2 linked regions of the Alligator mississippiensis genome follow. The protein of the gene in region 1 purifies or fractionates together with the protein of each later gene. This does not show direct contact. Links are inferred from orthologs where the notes say so. Each region holds a gene or a part of one and is shown on either strand. Other genes may lie near its edges.

The links. Proteins that work in one complex are often made in the same cells at the same time.
Region 2: the proteins of SLC7A1 (region 1) and HS2ST1 purify together in Homo sapiens (co-immunoprecipitation; 3 studies listed by BioGRID and IntAct, counting the BioPlex papers as one, with this or other methods). This does not show direct contact. The link is inferred for Alligator mississippiensis from reciprocal best matches to the Homo sapiens genes SLC7A1 and HS2ST1.

The regions. Positions count from the first base shown.
Region 1 is NC_081824.1:426,704,231-426,711,610, reverse strand, and holds the start of SLC7A1 (high affinity cationic amino acid transporter 1), read right to left. Parts: upstream 3,232-7,380; 5' UTR 2,989-3,231; intron 1-2,988. UniProt on the Homo sapiens protein: High-affinity, low capacity permease involved in the transport of the cationic amino acids (arginine, lysine and ornithine) in non-hepatic tissues.
Region 2 is NC_081828.1:29,692,260-29,700,785, forward strand, and holds the start of HS2ST1 (heparan sulfate 2-O-sulfotransferase 1), read left to right. Parts: upstream 1-5,172; 5' UTR 5,173-5,391; coding exon 5,392-5,515; intron 5,516-8,526. UniProt on the Homo sapiens protein: Catalyzes the transfer of a sulfo group from 3'-phospho-5'-adenylyl sulfate (PAPS) to the 2-OH position of iduronic acid (IdoA) or glucuronic acid (GlcA) within the heparan sulfate (HS) chain and participates in HS biosynthesis.

The sequences.
Region 1 (7,380 bases):
AACTTCCAGGGAGTCTCATGTATCAGCATCCCCGTGCTTAAAATGTGGTGGCAGGGGCGCTTTATCTGAAGCTCATTCAACAAGCTTTACATAAAAGTGCCCCCACCGCCATTTTTAAGCACAGGAACGCTGATGCACAAGATGCTGGAGGCTGCTGGAGCGTGGTAATTACCATGATAGAGTCTGCTCCGATGTGCTGTAATTACAGTGCATGGGAGCAGCCTTGCTGCTCATGTATAGGCACCCTAAAGTGTCAAGCATACTTTGATGTGGTGATTTTTAAGTGTTTCATCAGATACTTTTAGAATCTTTAACATTTATATGCAACACTTAAACTTACCCTACACATTTTTAAGTTGCAGAAATTGCCTTTGTGCCACCATACATTTTTTTATGGCACCATAAAACCTGAGCTAACAGATGTCTACGTCCTTTGTCATGCCACAAAATGACCAAATTTGTGGTTGTGACAATTCACTGAAATAGTTTTGTGCTCTCCTCCGCGCCCCCCCCGTTAGTTTATGGCTAGTGAGCGTGGGAAGTCCAGGGCTGCCTGTACTCCTGGGATACATTCTCAAACTGCCACAGGATTCAGGCCCCTGCCACTCCTAGGAGCTCAACCTGTGGGACAAGTGACATCAGTTTTTTCTAATCAATCAGAACAACTGTGCTTGGACATATCCCAACAGAGCTGATAATGCAATGAGAACTACTTTTATTTTTAGCCTCAGGGTCCTATCTGTTTGCTGAGAAAGGAGGGTTTTACATAAGTCTTTTCTGTCTGAAAGCTGGGGTAAAGGAAGGGGCTGGAAGTGCAAAATTCCAGTGTGCAACCTGAGTCTCAGGAAGCGATATTCCTGACAGCCTGAGGAAATCTCACTAAAAACAGAGCCATAAATGATGGTGATAGTGACTGCATCTCCCAATGTCATTCACTTGCTAGAAAAGAGTCTGCCTAACTTATCTGAAGTACACTCCTACTGCCTAATTAAGATGGCTCTCTTGTGCCATTCTTCTTTGACCCAAGAGCATAATCTGCATAATGTAATAATATATTTAATGTCTAGTTACCTTCCAGGATAAAAATGGAATTTTATTTTAAATGGTTTGAGAGAACTTCTAGCTAATCACTAAGTATTTTGCTTTATTAAAATCTGATTGTATCCATACCTATGTCTCCTACACTGTGTTGTTGGAGAACCTATCGGTCTCACACTTCAGGGGGGGGAAAAAAAAAAATACAGTCATTTATGGATTTCAAATGATCTTATGGTATGCTTTCCTTTTAAAGGAAAGGGAAGATAACCCAGCATGGATGGTTCGGGTCAGTGCAGAACTGGGGAGGAAAGGAGAGGTCAAAGATGGCTAGTCCCCAGATCCCAAGCAACCATTCCAGCATGTGGGACCACCAATGTTAGGGAAACCCAGTCATGATCTTTTTCTCAGATATTATCCCAGCAGACATGCCAGCTGCCTTCTTAGTAACTGTAGGTCACCCAATGATTTCCCAAAGCAGAGAAATGTTCACTGATGTAGAGAAGTCAGGCTTAAGGCTGTTCTGTTTCAGTAAAGCAGCTCCAGCTGCTCTTTGTGCATGGTCATGGCAGAGTTGCCAGAATACTTGTATTTCCTCAAATAACCTATAAAATGCACAGACCACTACAAATATAGATGGACGGAGGGATGCAAATAAGGTACTCGAGTCTCCAATCGAAAAGTATCATACTTTGCATGTGAGGGTATCAGCAACCAGAGGTTAGACGATTCACATAATAAACTTAACTCGCTCACACAATGAAAAAGGAGTAAGCTATCAGAGATGTTCTTAGACTTAACTCTGCAAATAAGGTCTCCCGCTTAAATGAACAGGAAGTCTCATAAGTTCCTCTCTTCACCACAAGGCCCTATTAAATTTGAGCCATCAGTCCCGCCTAAGGCCACGGCAATGAATAAACTAACACATTTAGAAGCTGTTCTAAAATGGCTGATGCCATACACATGTGTATGATGCAAGAGCTAGCAACCAAATTGAAAATAATTTTTACTAGGGATGGTGCCAAGTCTTTTATTCTATCACAAGCAGGATGTACCCCTCTCGCTTCCCTTCCATCACCAGCTGTACGTGTGGCCTAAGCAAGGAAGGCTGTGCAGGCAGAGGTGCTTTCTGCCCTTGGGATGCTGCCTGAGAGATTTTTCCTGCAGCAAGGGTGGGGTTAGGCAGACAAGGCGGCAAGAAAGAAAGAAAGAAACACGCACACACACACACACACTTGAAAAAGGGAACAGTGAAAGGAAGTCGGCTAAACTCGCAAGTCACGCTTGCACGTGTGCGTTACACCGTGACATTGCCCATTACCTTGCAAGGCAAGCAAGTAGCCATAGGTCTGGGGCTGGACCCTTGTCTTTATGCCGCACGTTTCTACAGCGCCGGGCACCTGGCAACGACGGGAACAATACCCCACGCATCGGGCCCCACACATGTGCGCCAGTCTCCTCAGCTCTCCCTTTCTTCCGCCTCAAACAAAAACAAGCCAGGAGGAAACTACCCAACCCGTGTGCAACCGCCTACAGGCAGCCCCCCGGCGAGAAGCCAGGCCCGGCCCTCGCAGGCATCTCGGGGGTTTCCGCCCACGGGTGAAAACACCGGACAGCCGGTCGGGCATCATCTGAATGCCAACAAGGAGGGGGCATGGCGGAGGCCTACCCAAAACTTCCTATGCAATGATGGGGGGGGGGTGAAACCTGAGTGCCCCGCGCGGGCCGTCTGAGGGAAGGAAGAAGGGGGCCGGCGAGGCGCGGGCTGAGGCGGGAACCTGCTCAACCCGCCTCGGCGCCCAGCAGCGCGGCGACGAGCCGCACGTGGGCCCGCATTGTGTGCGCCGCTGGGGAAGGGGCAGCCCGGCACTCGCCGCCCGCCCGCCCCGGTTGCATCATGCGCCGCGCTGCTACGCGGGGCAGCCGCCACCCTCAGCCCCACGTCCAGCTCACCTGCCGAGGCGGCGCCTGCTGCTGCTACTGCTGCCAGAGCCGGTTGCAGCGGGGCGCGCGGGTCTTGTGCACCTGGGCCGGGCGCTCCCCTTCTCAAGCAGCGGGCGGGGCATAGCGGCGCGGGCGGGCGAGGCGGGCTCTGCTACTGCGCTTGCGCCGGCTGTGGCTCCCTGACTTGTGTGCTGCTTCATTTTCTGACCCCTGCTTCAGATGCTCCTCTGCTTTCCGCTCCGTCTCCATGTGCTGCTTTGTTTTCCTGTGCTCCCTGTCCCGCCCCCCCAGCTGCTGCTCTGCTCTCCGCTCCCTGTCCCATGTGCTGTGCGGTGCACAGAGCCTGCGCCTGCCCCTGCCCCTGCCCCTGCCCTTGGTGGAGACAGGCCCGCCCCGGCCCACGCAACCGAACCTAACACTGCCCCGGTGGTGCTCGCCCTTTCCGCCCAGGGAGTTGGAGGGACAGCGCTCAGGCCAGCTGTGGGCCGGATCCGGCCCCGGCTCACGTGGAGGAAGGCAAACAGTCACATGGAGGGGGGCAAGGGGAAGGGACGCTGCTGTGTGGGGAAAGGGCGCTTGGCCTAGCCCTGCAGCGGTGGGAGGGGGCATAGGCCTGGCCCCTGTCCAGCTCGGGGGCCCAGCTCCAGTCTTGCCCCAACCTGGCTATGCGGAGGGAAGAGGACATGGCCCGTCTTCCACCGTCCATGCTGGCCTTGGAAATTGGGATTTTGGCAGTAGGGGAAGGTGGCTGTATTAATTGCCATGGCTCTCCCACTGCCAAATTTCCCAACCCACGGGAAGTCCTGCAGGCCAAATGTCACAGCTCTGCAGGCTGGAGGTTGAGCACCACTGCATGAACAGAGTAGCATCTTTTTAAAAGAAATAGGCAGGAGTTAGACAGAGCTGGTACCTGCTTCGACAAATCTGTGGCATGCCATCATCCTGGTGGTCCCATTAGTTTATGCAGAGCCTAGTGGGGGTCTTGCATGACGTTTCCCTGCACAGGCTGAGGAAATATCTAACTACTCAGGGGTTTCCAACTGAGGTTTGTGGATTGCACTGGAGCAGTTCAATTAGAATTTGATGTTTCTCAAGAAAATTTGAAACTTGACAACGGTCTGTCGGTCTAAAAAGCTTATGAACTATTGGTCTAGATAGATTCACCATATAATGGCCATACTAACTATTGGATTACAGTTTTCAAGTCATTTATCAGACTGCATTGTCAAACTGAGAAGACATTTTAAATGAGATTCTACTAAGAAGGGGGGGGGCGTTCATCTTGGGTTCTACTGTATTTAGTATTTTTATTAACCATTTAGATGAGTTCATATGTAAGATTTACAGATGAGAGCAGGCAGGGAGGGTTTGTAAGCAGTTTGGAGGGCAGGATTATCATTCAAAATTATATTGATAAATTGGAGAAATGGTCAGTAATCAATCAGATAAAACTCAATGAAGATAATTGCAAAAAAGTACTGCTCATAGGAAAGAGAAATTAAATGGATCAGTGCAAATTAGGAAATAATGGACAAAGCAACTGTATGGCAGAAAAGGATCTGGGAATGATAGTGAATCACAAACTAAATACGAGTCTGCCATATTTGGAAAAGCGCAGGCTCAGGGGCAATCTGATGGCCACCTATAAGTTTGCAAGGGGAGTCCACCAGGATCTGGGGGAACGTTTGTTCACCAGAGCGCCCCAAGGGACAACAAGGTTGAACGTTTATAAACTCCTACAAGACCATTTCAGGCTGGACATAAGGAAGAATTTCTTTACTGTCCGAGCCCCCAAGGTCTGGAATAGCCTGCCATTGGAGGTGGTTCAAGCGCCTACTTTGAACGCCCTCAAGAGAAAATTGGATGCTTATCTTGCTGGGATCCTATGACCTCAGCTGACTTCCTGCCTCTGGGACAGGGGGCTGCACTCGATGATCTTCCGAGGTCCCTTCCAGCCCTAATGTCTATGAAAGTCTATGAAATACCATGCATTTGGAAAAAAGGCAAATTTCATTCTGAAATCTATTAACAGAAGTGTTAAACATGTAAAACGTAAGAAGTAATTATTCTACTCTGCTCTGCCTGGTGAGGCCTCAGTTGGAGTACTACATCCAGTTTTTGGGAATCAGATTTTAAGATTGATACAGAAAAATTGGAGGAGAGCAATCAGAGAAAGGTAAAAGATTTGGAAAATATCATCTATTAGAAAAGGCTGGAAGAAATTGATTTGTTTAGTCTAAAAACAAGAAGACTAGGGATGCAGGAATATGCTGCTAACAGTCTTCCAATATTTTAAAAGTTGCTATAAGGAAGATGCTGATCTATTGTTTATCTCATCTAATAAGTAGGACAAGAAGTAATCAGCTTAATTTGCAACAAAGCAGAATTAAGTTGGATATTAGGAAAACCTTTTTTAACTCTAAGCATAGTTAAGTTGTAGAGGAAATCTAGGGAGGTTGTGACATCCCTGTAATTGGAAGTTTATGAAAAGATTAGACTAACATCTGTGAGAAAGTCACCAGGAGAGACTCAATGACCTGCTGAAGCCCCTTCCTCTTCTATATTTTTGTAATTTAAAGACTCAACTCTGCAATATTTGAGTCCCTTTCCACAATAAGTCATACATCCTTACCTGGCAGGGGAAATACCATGATCAACTAGGGCGGTTTTTCTAGGGACAGGGGATAAACACTTTTCTGGCATGGGGTAGTATTTGCAGAGGTAACATATAGTTACCCTCCCAAGTTCATTGCCCTCGGGGAAGATCTTGGCTTTACGTCCACTTTATGGAAATGGCAGACTTTTCCCTAGCTTGCTTCTGCAGCCGTATGGCTGAGGGCAAGTGAAACTCAGGGGCATCTGAACCCCAAGCCTTGGGCCTGCACGTAGGATGTCCACCAAATGATTTGGAAACACTGAAGCCCCAGGTAGGGGTGGAGGATGTTTGCCAGTTGCAGGGCCACATATGGTTCTTGAATGACTTACGGATTTGGAATTGATTTGGCTTGGAACACGAAAATTTTTACTTAAAAAAAGGTCATACATCCTGAAATTTCAGGATTTTTTCCTCATCTTCCTTGAAAATGGGAGTTAAATTGGTTTTATTTTACCTTTCTCCAAGTTGGTAAACCTTGTAATATACCCACTTGAGCAAATAAACTTAATGGAAATAACTGGAAGATCTTTCCTTCTTTGGTGGTAGTCTCATTATTCATGCTTCCTGGTTTATTCTACTGCTTTTGTTCGGTTTCTGGCTTGGTAAACACAGGAATTCAGTAGTAGATCATCAAGGAACCAGAAATAAAAGACAGATTCCAGGAAAGCTGGAGTTGGGATGAAGAACACCTTTAATTCAAACTGTGTTTGAATTATTCAAAAACTTTATAAGCCAAATTTTATTCTCACAGCCTAATGAATGTGGAGAACACATACTGAAGTTAATGGAGTCACTCCAGATTTAGAGCAGGATAAGCAAGAGGAGAATGGCATCCTGCACATTTAGACAATTGTATGGGAATGACAGTGTCCCAGAATATGCTCTGCTGGATTTGTTGGAGGGGATATTGTAATATAAGCACTTGCACAGTAATATAGGACTGTTTTTGTTTCTGAGGCCAAGATCTATAGTCTCACCCTCGTCTCTGGTAATGTTCTTAGAAAAAGTGGAATCCATACCCTATAACTATTTTAGGGCACTCAGATGATTGTCAAAATTGTTATTTTACCCTATGTTGCTAATTTCATTCTTTCACCTAATAAAGCACTTGGACTCATTTTCTCATTCATCTCTCAAAATGATCTCCACCCATTAGGATTTCCTGGGTGTGGTGGATGGATTCCTCTGTTCATTTGTGGAGAATAAGGTGATGATTTTATTGGAAAATGTTTCATTCTTTAAAAAAAAAGCACTCTGTGCATGAAAAAGACCTTTGTACAATTTGCTCTTGAAAAAAAACATTGTTTCTGGCAAAACTGTATGGCATATTCTAAACTGTAATAAGAGCTCCTTGGCCAAAAGTCCAAGTACTTAAAGGTCCAGAACTTGATTTTGAAATACTTTAAGATCAGTCAGTGGTTTTCCCCATGAATGCTGCATACTCTGCAACATAAATTCTGTATCCATGTCCTCTTCCTCTTGAAAAAAAAACTTTTAAGTACGGGTTACACGTTGGCAGATTTATCAGAACAAGCAGGACAGTCTTAAATTTTAAAGGAATTTTAACATAGAATCACAGAAAATTAGGAATGGAAGGGACCTCAAGAGGTTATCTAGAGCAACCCCCTACTCAAAGCAGGACCATCCCCAACTAGGACTTTCCAGCCAGGACTTTGTCAAGCCGGGCCTTAAAAACCTCCAAGGATGGAAATTCCACCACTCCTTTAAATAAGGTGCTTAACTAC
Region 2 (8,526 bases), on another chromosome or scaffold:
CTTGTGGAAAAAGAATATATTTGGCAGGAAACAAGTCTTGACCCTTGAGTTCTATTCTTTATGATACAAATAATCTTATTTGAACTAGGACATATTATTTAGATGTAAACCTTTTGTATGAGATGTTAAATTAGTGTTTGTAAACCTAGTGACATCCTTAAAACTGTGCTACCCATAAGAATAATGTCTCCTATTTTCAAGAAGATAAAAGTCAGGAAGCCACTAAAGATATACACATAATAAGAACCCTATCCTCTCTGAAGTCTATTTTTGCATACACTCCTAATCAGCTTTCCCTCTAAGATGTGCAGGTGCACAGGTGCCTGGCAGCATGGTATGAGTGCGCCTGTGTGGCCACACACACCACACTGCTTAGAGGTTAATTTCAATTTCCTAGGAACACAAATAGCATAGCAGCTGGGCTTGGAAAAGTATGTGGTGACTAGCCAATTGCTGGGCCGCTGTGGCGGAGGTGCAAGGGGGAGCACTGGGCCCAGGTCAACCCGGCAGTGCGGGGGGACGGGAGCAGCGGGCTCAGGGCTGACATGGGGGAGCAGGGGTGAGGGAACAGTGGGCCTGGGCTCAACTGGGGGAGGTGGCCTGCTCCTCCCCTCTCCCTGCAGCTGCCATGTTGGGCTGGGCTGGGCTGGGCCAGGCCCACTGTCTCCCTCTCCCATGCCCCTCCCCACCCCTCACTGCTGCAGCAAGCCGGCTTATCTCCCAGCTCAGGCTTGCTCCCCTACCCGCGTTGGGCCTGAGTCCAGTCCTCCCCTGGCCTCACCATCACCACTGATGCCACAGTGCGCCACATCAGGCCCACTCAGGGACAGGAAGAATGGGTTTGGGGCTGATGCAGGGGACAAGGGGTGGGGGAGGAGGCTCACTCCTTCCCTCCCCCAGCCACTGCTGTGTTGGGCTGGACCCACTGTTCCCGCCCCCCACCACCATGGTGAGCTGGCTTTTCCCCCCACTCGGGCCCGGGCCCACTCCCCCCCATGTTACCTGCAGGGAGCAGGGCTGTCTGTCAGCCAATCAGAGCGTGAATAAAGCATACGGACAAACAGATTTAGGCTTTTATAATATTAGAATGGTGTGGGCTCTAACTGAGTGATAATAAATTAAGGTAGAACATATCCAAGCAAAGTTTCAAGTTTGTATTAAGGTTATAGGAGAAAGGTAATTATATGTCTATGGGGGGGATGTATGTAGAAAACAAATTACAATTCTAATATAATGGTAATCAACAAGGATCCTGGTTTGCTGTCTAAAAATGCCAAATTCTCTGATAAAATTCCCAAATTTGCTAATTAAAAAACCCAAAATCTGCATTTCTCTGTGAATTAAATTATATATACCTATGTATTCTAGCCTTTGATACTTTTTAATCAAAAAAATCAGAGCTGTCCCTACCCTCTTCACTCACCAGGACATGGGTCCAGTTGCATCTGTCCCCCCTGCTGCTTTGTTGTGCTGAGCAGTCCTGATATGTTGGTGTCCTGCTCCTGCCCATTACATTGCTCCTCACTCCCAAGCCACAGCCTGCCCCCCACCTCTCCTCTAGCCCCACTGATGCCCTTCACTCCCCAACCCATAACCCTCCTAGCCCTGCTGATGCCCCTCACTCAGGAACCACAGTTCCCTGACCTTGCCAGTGCCCCTCAGTCACAGCCCACAGCCCCTTGGCTCTGTTGGTGCCCCTCACTCCTGACCCACAGCTCCCTAGCCCTGCTGGTGCCCTTCAGTTCTGTCCCACAGCCCCTTGGTCCTGCTTGGGCCCCTCGCTCCTGAATTACAGTCCCCCGCTCCCAACCCGCCAGTGTGTGGGGAAGGGGAGGGTGTAAGCACAAGAGACATGTGAGGGGAGTGGGGGCACATCCCCGCCCCTGAAATTTCTGTGCCCACAATGGGGTGCCAGCTACAGCTGAGCCAGATGAGCTCCAGCTCCAGACAGGAGTCACCTCCATGGCCCAGTGGGCAGGACCTGGCACAGGAAGGAGTGCCACTATGGCCACCAAGGTGAGGCACCCCCTGCGCACCTGGCACCAGCAGGGACACAACTCCGTGCTGCTGCCAACACTGCACCTCACCTTGGTGGCCCTCACTCCCCTCAACCCCAAGCATCTCCTTACAGGCTTGAACTCCCGTGTTTTTCTCCTTTAGAGGAGAAATCTGTGTTTTTCTCATTTAAATAAGAAAAATCTACATTTTTCTCTGTTAAAGGAGAAAATCCTCACTTTCCTGCAGCCAACATAAAACCTGGATCCCTGGTAATCAATTATGATGATCACTTTAGTTTAAGAATCTCTACACACAGTATTAATTCTGGTTAATGCTCAATAGTCAAGAAACTCATCTATTTTCCTCACACTTAAATGATATAATTTGCCTTTTCTTTTCACTTCACCCAAACCAACTACTTGTGATCCTCCTACTTTGCCTTGCCTATTCCCCCTCCAGCTTTAATTAGGCCAGTAGAACTGGGAGAAGAATGTCATGAGAAAGCCAGGCTCTCAGGTTATTTGTCACTCCTGCTTAATAGCCATTGTCAAAAAAAAGCTACAAGTAAGTCTCTGCTCCATTATGGAACACATTTGCTGGGTGACAACTGAACTGAGTCTGTGCCAGGTCTCTCTTCAGACTACAACAGAAGATCTGAGACCACCCCCGCCTTGCCCCAGAGCACATTTGGCTCTCTTCTACTCTCCACATTTCAGCATTAACACTTGCAGCATGCTGGAGCCAGGTAGGGTGCCCAGCCATTTCTCATACTCAAATATCCAGAGCTGAGGTGCTTACTGGGTTTCAGCACCAATCCTGGCTAGATTCCAGCTGGCAAAGGTAAGAACATGCAAATGGGACATGGACACAATGGTTTTACTAGAAATAGACTGAGCACCAATCCATAAAGTACCTAACTACATCTAGGTGTCCAATGACACCTAAAAGCTCTCAAAAAGTAAGAAGTATTCATATTTTTTGTTAATTTCACTGTGTGGGTTCAAATTCTACATACAATATATGGTGGAGAGGGACATTAAATAAGGTTCTGTTCAAGGGCTCAACTCATTACAGCAGCCACAACTCAGAATTAGTACCCAAATGTAAATCAGATACTAGTGAGAGCCAATGTTTTATCAGCTGGGGCCACCAAAGGCTGGTCTATGTTTGAACAGACTATTAATTTCAGCACAGGTCTACATGTGAAAAAGCTTCACTTCAGGGTAAAAAGAGTGGCTAAGGAGATTTAACATTTTATTGACTCCTTTTCTACTCTTTATTTTTTTCAGTACAGGGATGTGTAAGGATCCTACAGTTCCTGTGCAGTCCTACAATTTCTGTGCTCAGATGCTTGGGAACGTCCGAGTTTTCTTCCCCCGCTGCTTTGGAGTTATGAGTTAAGTTTTAGAGAACAGGGTCTCAGCTCTTAGCTGGGACAATGACAGGACAAGGGCCCAGCATGTTTCTTTTTGTAGCACTACAAAAATGGAAAATGAAGTGCTATCAGCAGCTTCATGTTCAAAACTCCTGCGAGTCTCGTACAACTTTTTTTGTACGAAGTTACAAAACGGCACTTTCTCTGGCTCCTTGGTTCACTCCTTCAAAGGACTCACAGGTGGGCTTCCCCCAACAGTTGCTGCCATCCTGGTGGCAACATGTGGGCAGCAAGAATCCTGAGCCAGTCACTTTCCCTCTTGGAGGAGGGCAGGGGACTGAGGGGTTGCAGGGCAGGCTGCCATCCATGACCCACCAACACTGCCCTGGCTACTGCTCTGTTTGGAAGTTTAAAAAGCACAGGCAGGGGCAGCCCAGGAGCTTTTTAATGTTCCCACTTTCAGGCAGCTTGTGAGCTCTTGAAGTTTGCAGCTGCCCACCCCTTGGGATGCTTAAAGGGTGCCTCTGGTGTCCCATGCTGCCCGCATGTATCTCAGCCCCTGGCTGCTGGACCTTTGTAAGGTCCCAGCTGGCAAAACTAGGCCTCCAATATCGGATAGAGCCCCCCCACCCCAGTTATTTTAAACAGCAACAATTTTGTCCCGGACCTGCCAATTCTGGGGCACATAAGGCACTCTTAGCAGGGAAGAAAAGCCTGAAAGCCCTTCATCTGGCTAAGGCGGCGGTTAGCGGGCTACAGGGAGCTTCTGCAGGGACTTCACGGTGCCCGCCTGACGCGGCCGAGGCGACCTCGGGTTGCAAGAGGTAGCATCCGCGGGCGCTGCTCCGGCTCCAGCCACCCGCAGCACAACAAGGGCCCCGGCGCTCCTCGCCGCCCGGCTGGCCTCGAGCGGGCAGGCCTGGGGCGGCTCCTCCGCCTCTCCGAGCGGCCACGTCTCACCCGCCCGCCCGCCCGCCCGCGCCCTGCCCCGTGCACGGGCTGCAGCCTCCCCCGGCCCGAGCGGCGCCCCGCCCGGCAGCTCAGGGACGAGGAGACTGGAACCGGCCCTCACCGCCTGCAGCGCCGCCAGGAGACAAAGCCAGAGGCGCCCCGGGCCCGTCGCTCCGGCAACCGCCGCCATCTTAGTGCAGAACCGCCACTGCCGGCAAGGCCGCGTCAGGACCTCGCCCGCTCAGGGTGCCCTCCCGCCGCCTGCTGCGGGAGAACCAAAGTGTGCCCCTGAGCCCTTCGCGTCGTTGAGGAAAACCGTTGTCCCAGGGTTGCCTTTGGGAAACGCCTGACTACAACCAAGAAACTCCACTCAGGGTAGAAGCTTGTTATGCAGGTGGCGGATCCCGATCTCCATTGGGCATCACAACAGACAGTCCTTGGAAGGTCCTTCTCGTTCTTCCACTCATAACGGACTAACGTCAACCCTCACACGACTGACGCACAGTTCGGCCAATAGCAACAAGACATGGCCGAATGCGGTTGTCTGCGCCCCTATGACTAGCTGAGCGATGAGGCGGGACCACGGCATAGCCCATCCAATCCAGAAGGAGCGCATGTAGGCGGGGCGTCGGGCCCTACGGACGTTCGTGGGGGAGTTTTTGTGGACGCGGTCACTGCGTGGGCCGCCCAATGGGGTCGGGCGAGGGCGGGGCGACGGTGAGGCTGCCCAATGGCGACGGGCGTGGGGGCGGGCTCTGCGCGTGGCTGGTCAATGGGAGGGCGCGGGGGCGTGCGCGCGGCTGGGCGTTCGGTTGCTGAGCAGCGCACGCAGGCGGGGGGAGGGGCGCGGGTGACCGAGCGTGCTCGGGGCCGGGCCGGGCCGCGCGGGGGGCGGGCGGTGCTCGGCGGGGATGTGAGAGCCGCGTCCCTCCGCGCGCGCCGGGGTCCCGCTCCCTGCTGGCCTCGCTCGCTCGCTGTGTCCCCGCGGCGGCTGCGGCTCTTCCCGGCCGGGCCCCGCGTTATGTCGTGATCCCGGGCGGGCGGCGCTGCTGCTGCTGCTGCTGCTGATGGGGCTGCTCAGGATTATGCTGCCGCCCAAGTTGCAGCTGCTGGCCGTGTTGGCCTTCGGCCTGGCCGTGCTCTTCATCGAGAACCAGATCCAGAAGCTGGATGAGTCCCGCGGCAAGCTCGGTGAGCTGCGCCGCGCCGCGCCGCGCCGGGCTGGGCCAGGCCGGGCCAGCGTGTGGGGGGCTGTGGGAATGGCGGGGGGAACAAAGGTGGAGCTGGCAGGGGAGGGAGGCGATGACAGTGCCAGGAGCTGGGAAGGGAAAGCCGCTCCCCACCCGCTTCCCAGTGCGGAGCTCGCTGGGACCGGCAGGACGGCGAGGTGGCTTCTCCTACATGGCCCTTGTGTTTACGTGTCTGCAAATCCTGTCTGACGGGCTTGCTACGACTCCGGGGGGACTGTGCGGAAGAGGCTGTAAGCAGGGGAGACAGCGGCCAGGGCCTCACGCTTCACTCCGACGGAAATTCTGCATAGGGAGAGCCAGCGCCGGGGGTTGGGGCTGGGACGAGATGTGTATTTCTAGGGAGTCTCAATGCACTTTTCCCAAAAGAGCAAAAAGGGAAGGGAAAAAAAAGCCAGAGACGGTTGTTGTTGGTGACTTGTCGGAGCTGCCGGCCTGTGTGTGTGTGTTGTGCAGCCCAGCTGGAGGTTGAGGCACAGCTGTGGTGCTGGAAGCAAGTCCAGCTCTGCTTTTCCCTGCTTCTGGACATATTTATCTGAAACGCCCTTATTTCCAGTTCAAACTTTTTAATAAGGCTTGGACCTAATCCAGACATGTGGAGGTGGAAGAGGAGTACTCAAAAATGTGCGGGTTAAACCAAATCAAGTGAAATCAGTGGGTTGTGTGTAACAGGCAAGAAGCATGATTTGTTTCACCCTCATTGAATGCAGGATTTATTTACCTCTGCTCAGTAAATGGAATTACTGCAGGACTCCTGTTCAGAGCTAAAGTTGTTAAACTGTGTAAATTTAACCCTTTCCCCTTATGTTTGTAATTTTTACTTTTAATTTCTAACAGTACTTTTCCAGGGGTATAGTAAATGTCAGACTTCAGAAGCACTAAAGGGCTGCATAATTTCAGCAGAATGAGGAGATGCTGTTTTTAACTCAGTTCATTTTATTGTAACCATGAATTGGGGTGCAGTAGGACTTCTAAAATACCAAAGAACAGAGGGTTAGGCTATACATGATTTTGTTACCTCGCGCTTTAGGTAGGTAACCTTATCCATATTAGTTCATTATAGTATATTTCTTAACAGATGAATATTTGTGGCTTGTACATATACAGAGGAAAGAAGGGACAGTTTCTAGGTTTTTTTGGTTAGAAATGGAGGTGGACTTTTAGTGAAATGACAAGTTTTACTGTAATGGTGTTGGAGTGGTGTTGTAGCCTGTCTAGGAAATATATAAGAAGCAAGGGGTTATTTTGACATCTCAAAAAACCCCTTGCTGCTTATATGTTTTATTGAACCCAACCATTGTTGGGAGATGTTAGGTAAGCTTCAGGTATAAAGTGAAGAAGGGCACTTTATGGCTGAAAATTTGTTTTATGTAGTTTCCAACTAAACAGTTGCTTCAGTAAGAGATCTCATTCATACCTATACACTCTGTTGCTTTTTGAAAGTTTAACTGTATCCAACTTCTGGAAGAGATGAACTCAAAATAAAGGTTAGTGGCATTCATAGACTAGGTCAGTGATTCTCAACCTTTGTAAACTCATGGTGCTTCTCTGTAGACTCAGCACCCATAAGAAAATGCTAGCTCCTTGTTTTCACCCTTTCTTTGACTACAGAAAAATAATGCAGCAGTTCTGTTGCAAAAACTCAAAAAGACCAGAGCAGGTCAGAATATTTTTAACACTATAGATTCCTGTATGAAAACTCTGGGTTTATCTTGTGAATCATGTTTGCATACCTCATAGTACAAACATTTTGTGGCATCCATAGCTCCACAGTTTGAAAAGGATGTCAAAGTACCCCATGGTGCCAGTGCACCTTGTTTAAGACCCACTGACCTAGCTATTGGAAATCAGAAGCCTTTAAAAAGTGTTTGACTGTATGAGTTATCTATGAGTTTTTTACCTCTCAGTTTAACAATATGTTACTAATATGTGAAAGTTAGAATAATTTGCTTTTGCTTGGTTGGTTTGTCTTTTTGCTGGATTATTTAAACAAGTGTTAAGAAAGAAAGAAGAACACACTGGGATAGTTTAAATAGACATTGTTGATAAAGCAGTCAAGGATTAATGAAATTCCATAAAAGTGTATTTTTAACTGCTTGGCACCACTAGCTGCCCTACATCCATTGCTGGCAATGGGTGTCACGCCAAGAAAATACAACTCCCAGCAGAAAAGGATTAACATAATGCATTGTGGGAATAAAGGGTTTTGCTGGTAAGACTTCCTTTTACTTCACCTTAATAGATATACATTGGACACGTTTAGGTTACATATTTAGAGGATTAAAATACGCACAACTCAGTGCACAACTTCAGGACAAGAATCCAATCACTTTGTTCTACTGATGGAGTTTTTATCTCTTGGAAAAGGGGGTAATCTCTATTTTGAACTTGATATTAAAATATAACGGAAAATGGTGCCTAGTAAGGGACATGTCAATGGTTCTTGAGCTGCATGGGAGGAGAAACTAGAGCTGTGTAACAACTTATTAGGCTGTTTATACTCTGGATTAGGAAGTACTTTTATATGAGAGGCCTGTTACTACAATGATGCATGCAGAAGTATGCCACCCCATGTGCATGTATGTAATCTAAATATTATAATAATAATAAAACCTGAGGGAACTCGTAAGTTTTTTTTTTTTTACTGTGAAAATAGTCTGGATGTTTTAGTGCCATTTTCACCTCACTGCAGTACAGAGTTCAGTTGCCCTATATTGAAATAATCAGTTTTGATCCAACACAATGGACCTTGAAGGGTAAAATAAACAAAAAACCTAAGAAAAAAAATAATGAAGATTAGTGAGCCCATGAACTGATGAGAATAATGACTGCATTTTGACTGAAAGGCCTATGAAAATATCAAGTTGGGTCTGGAGCTGGTAAATTAAATTGGGTGTTGTCTCTTTTGTTTTGTTTTTTTCAATTGATTTATCACATGAGAGAACATGCCATGAT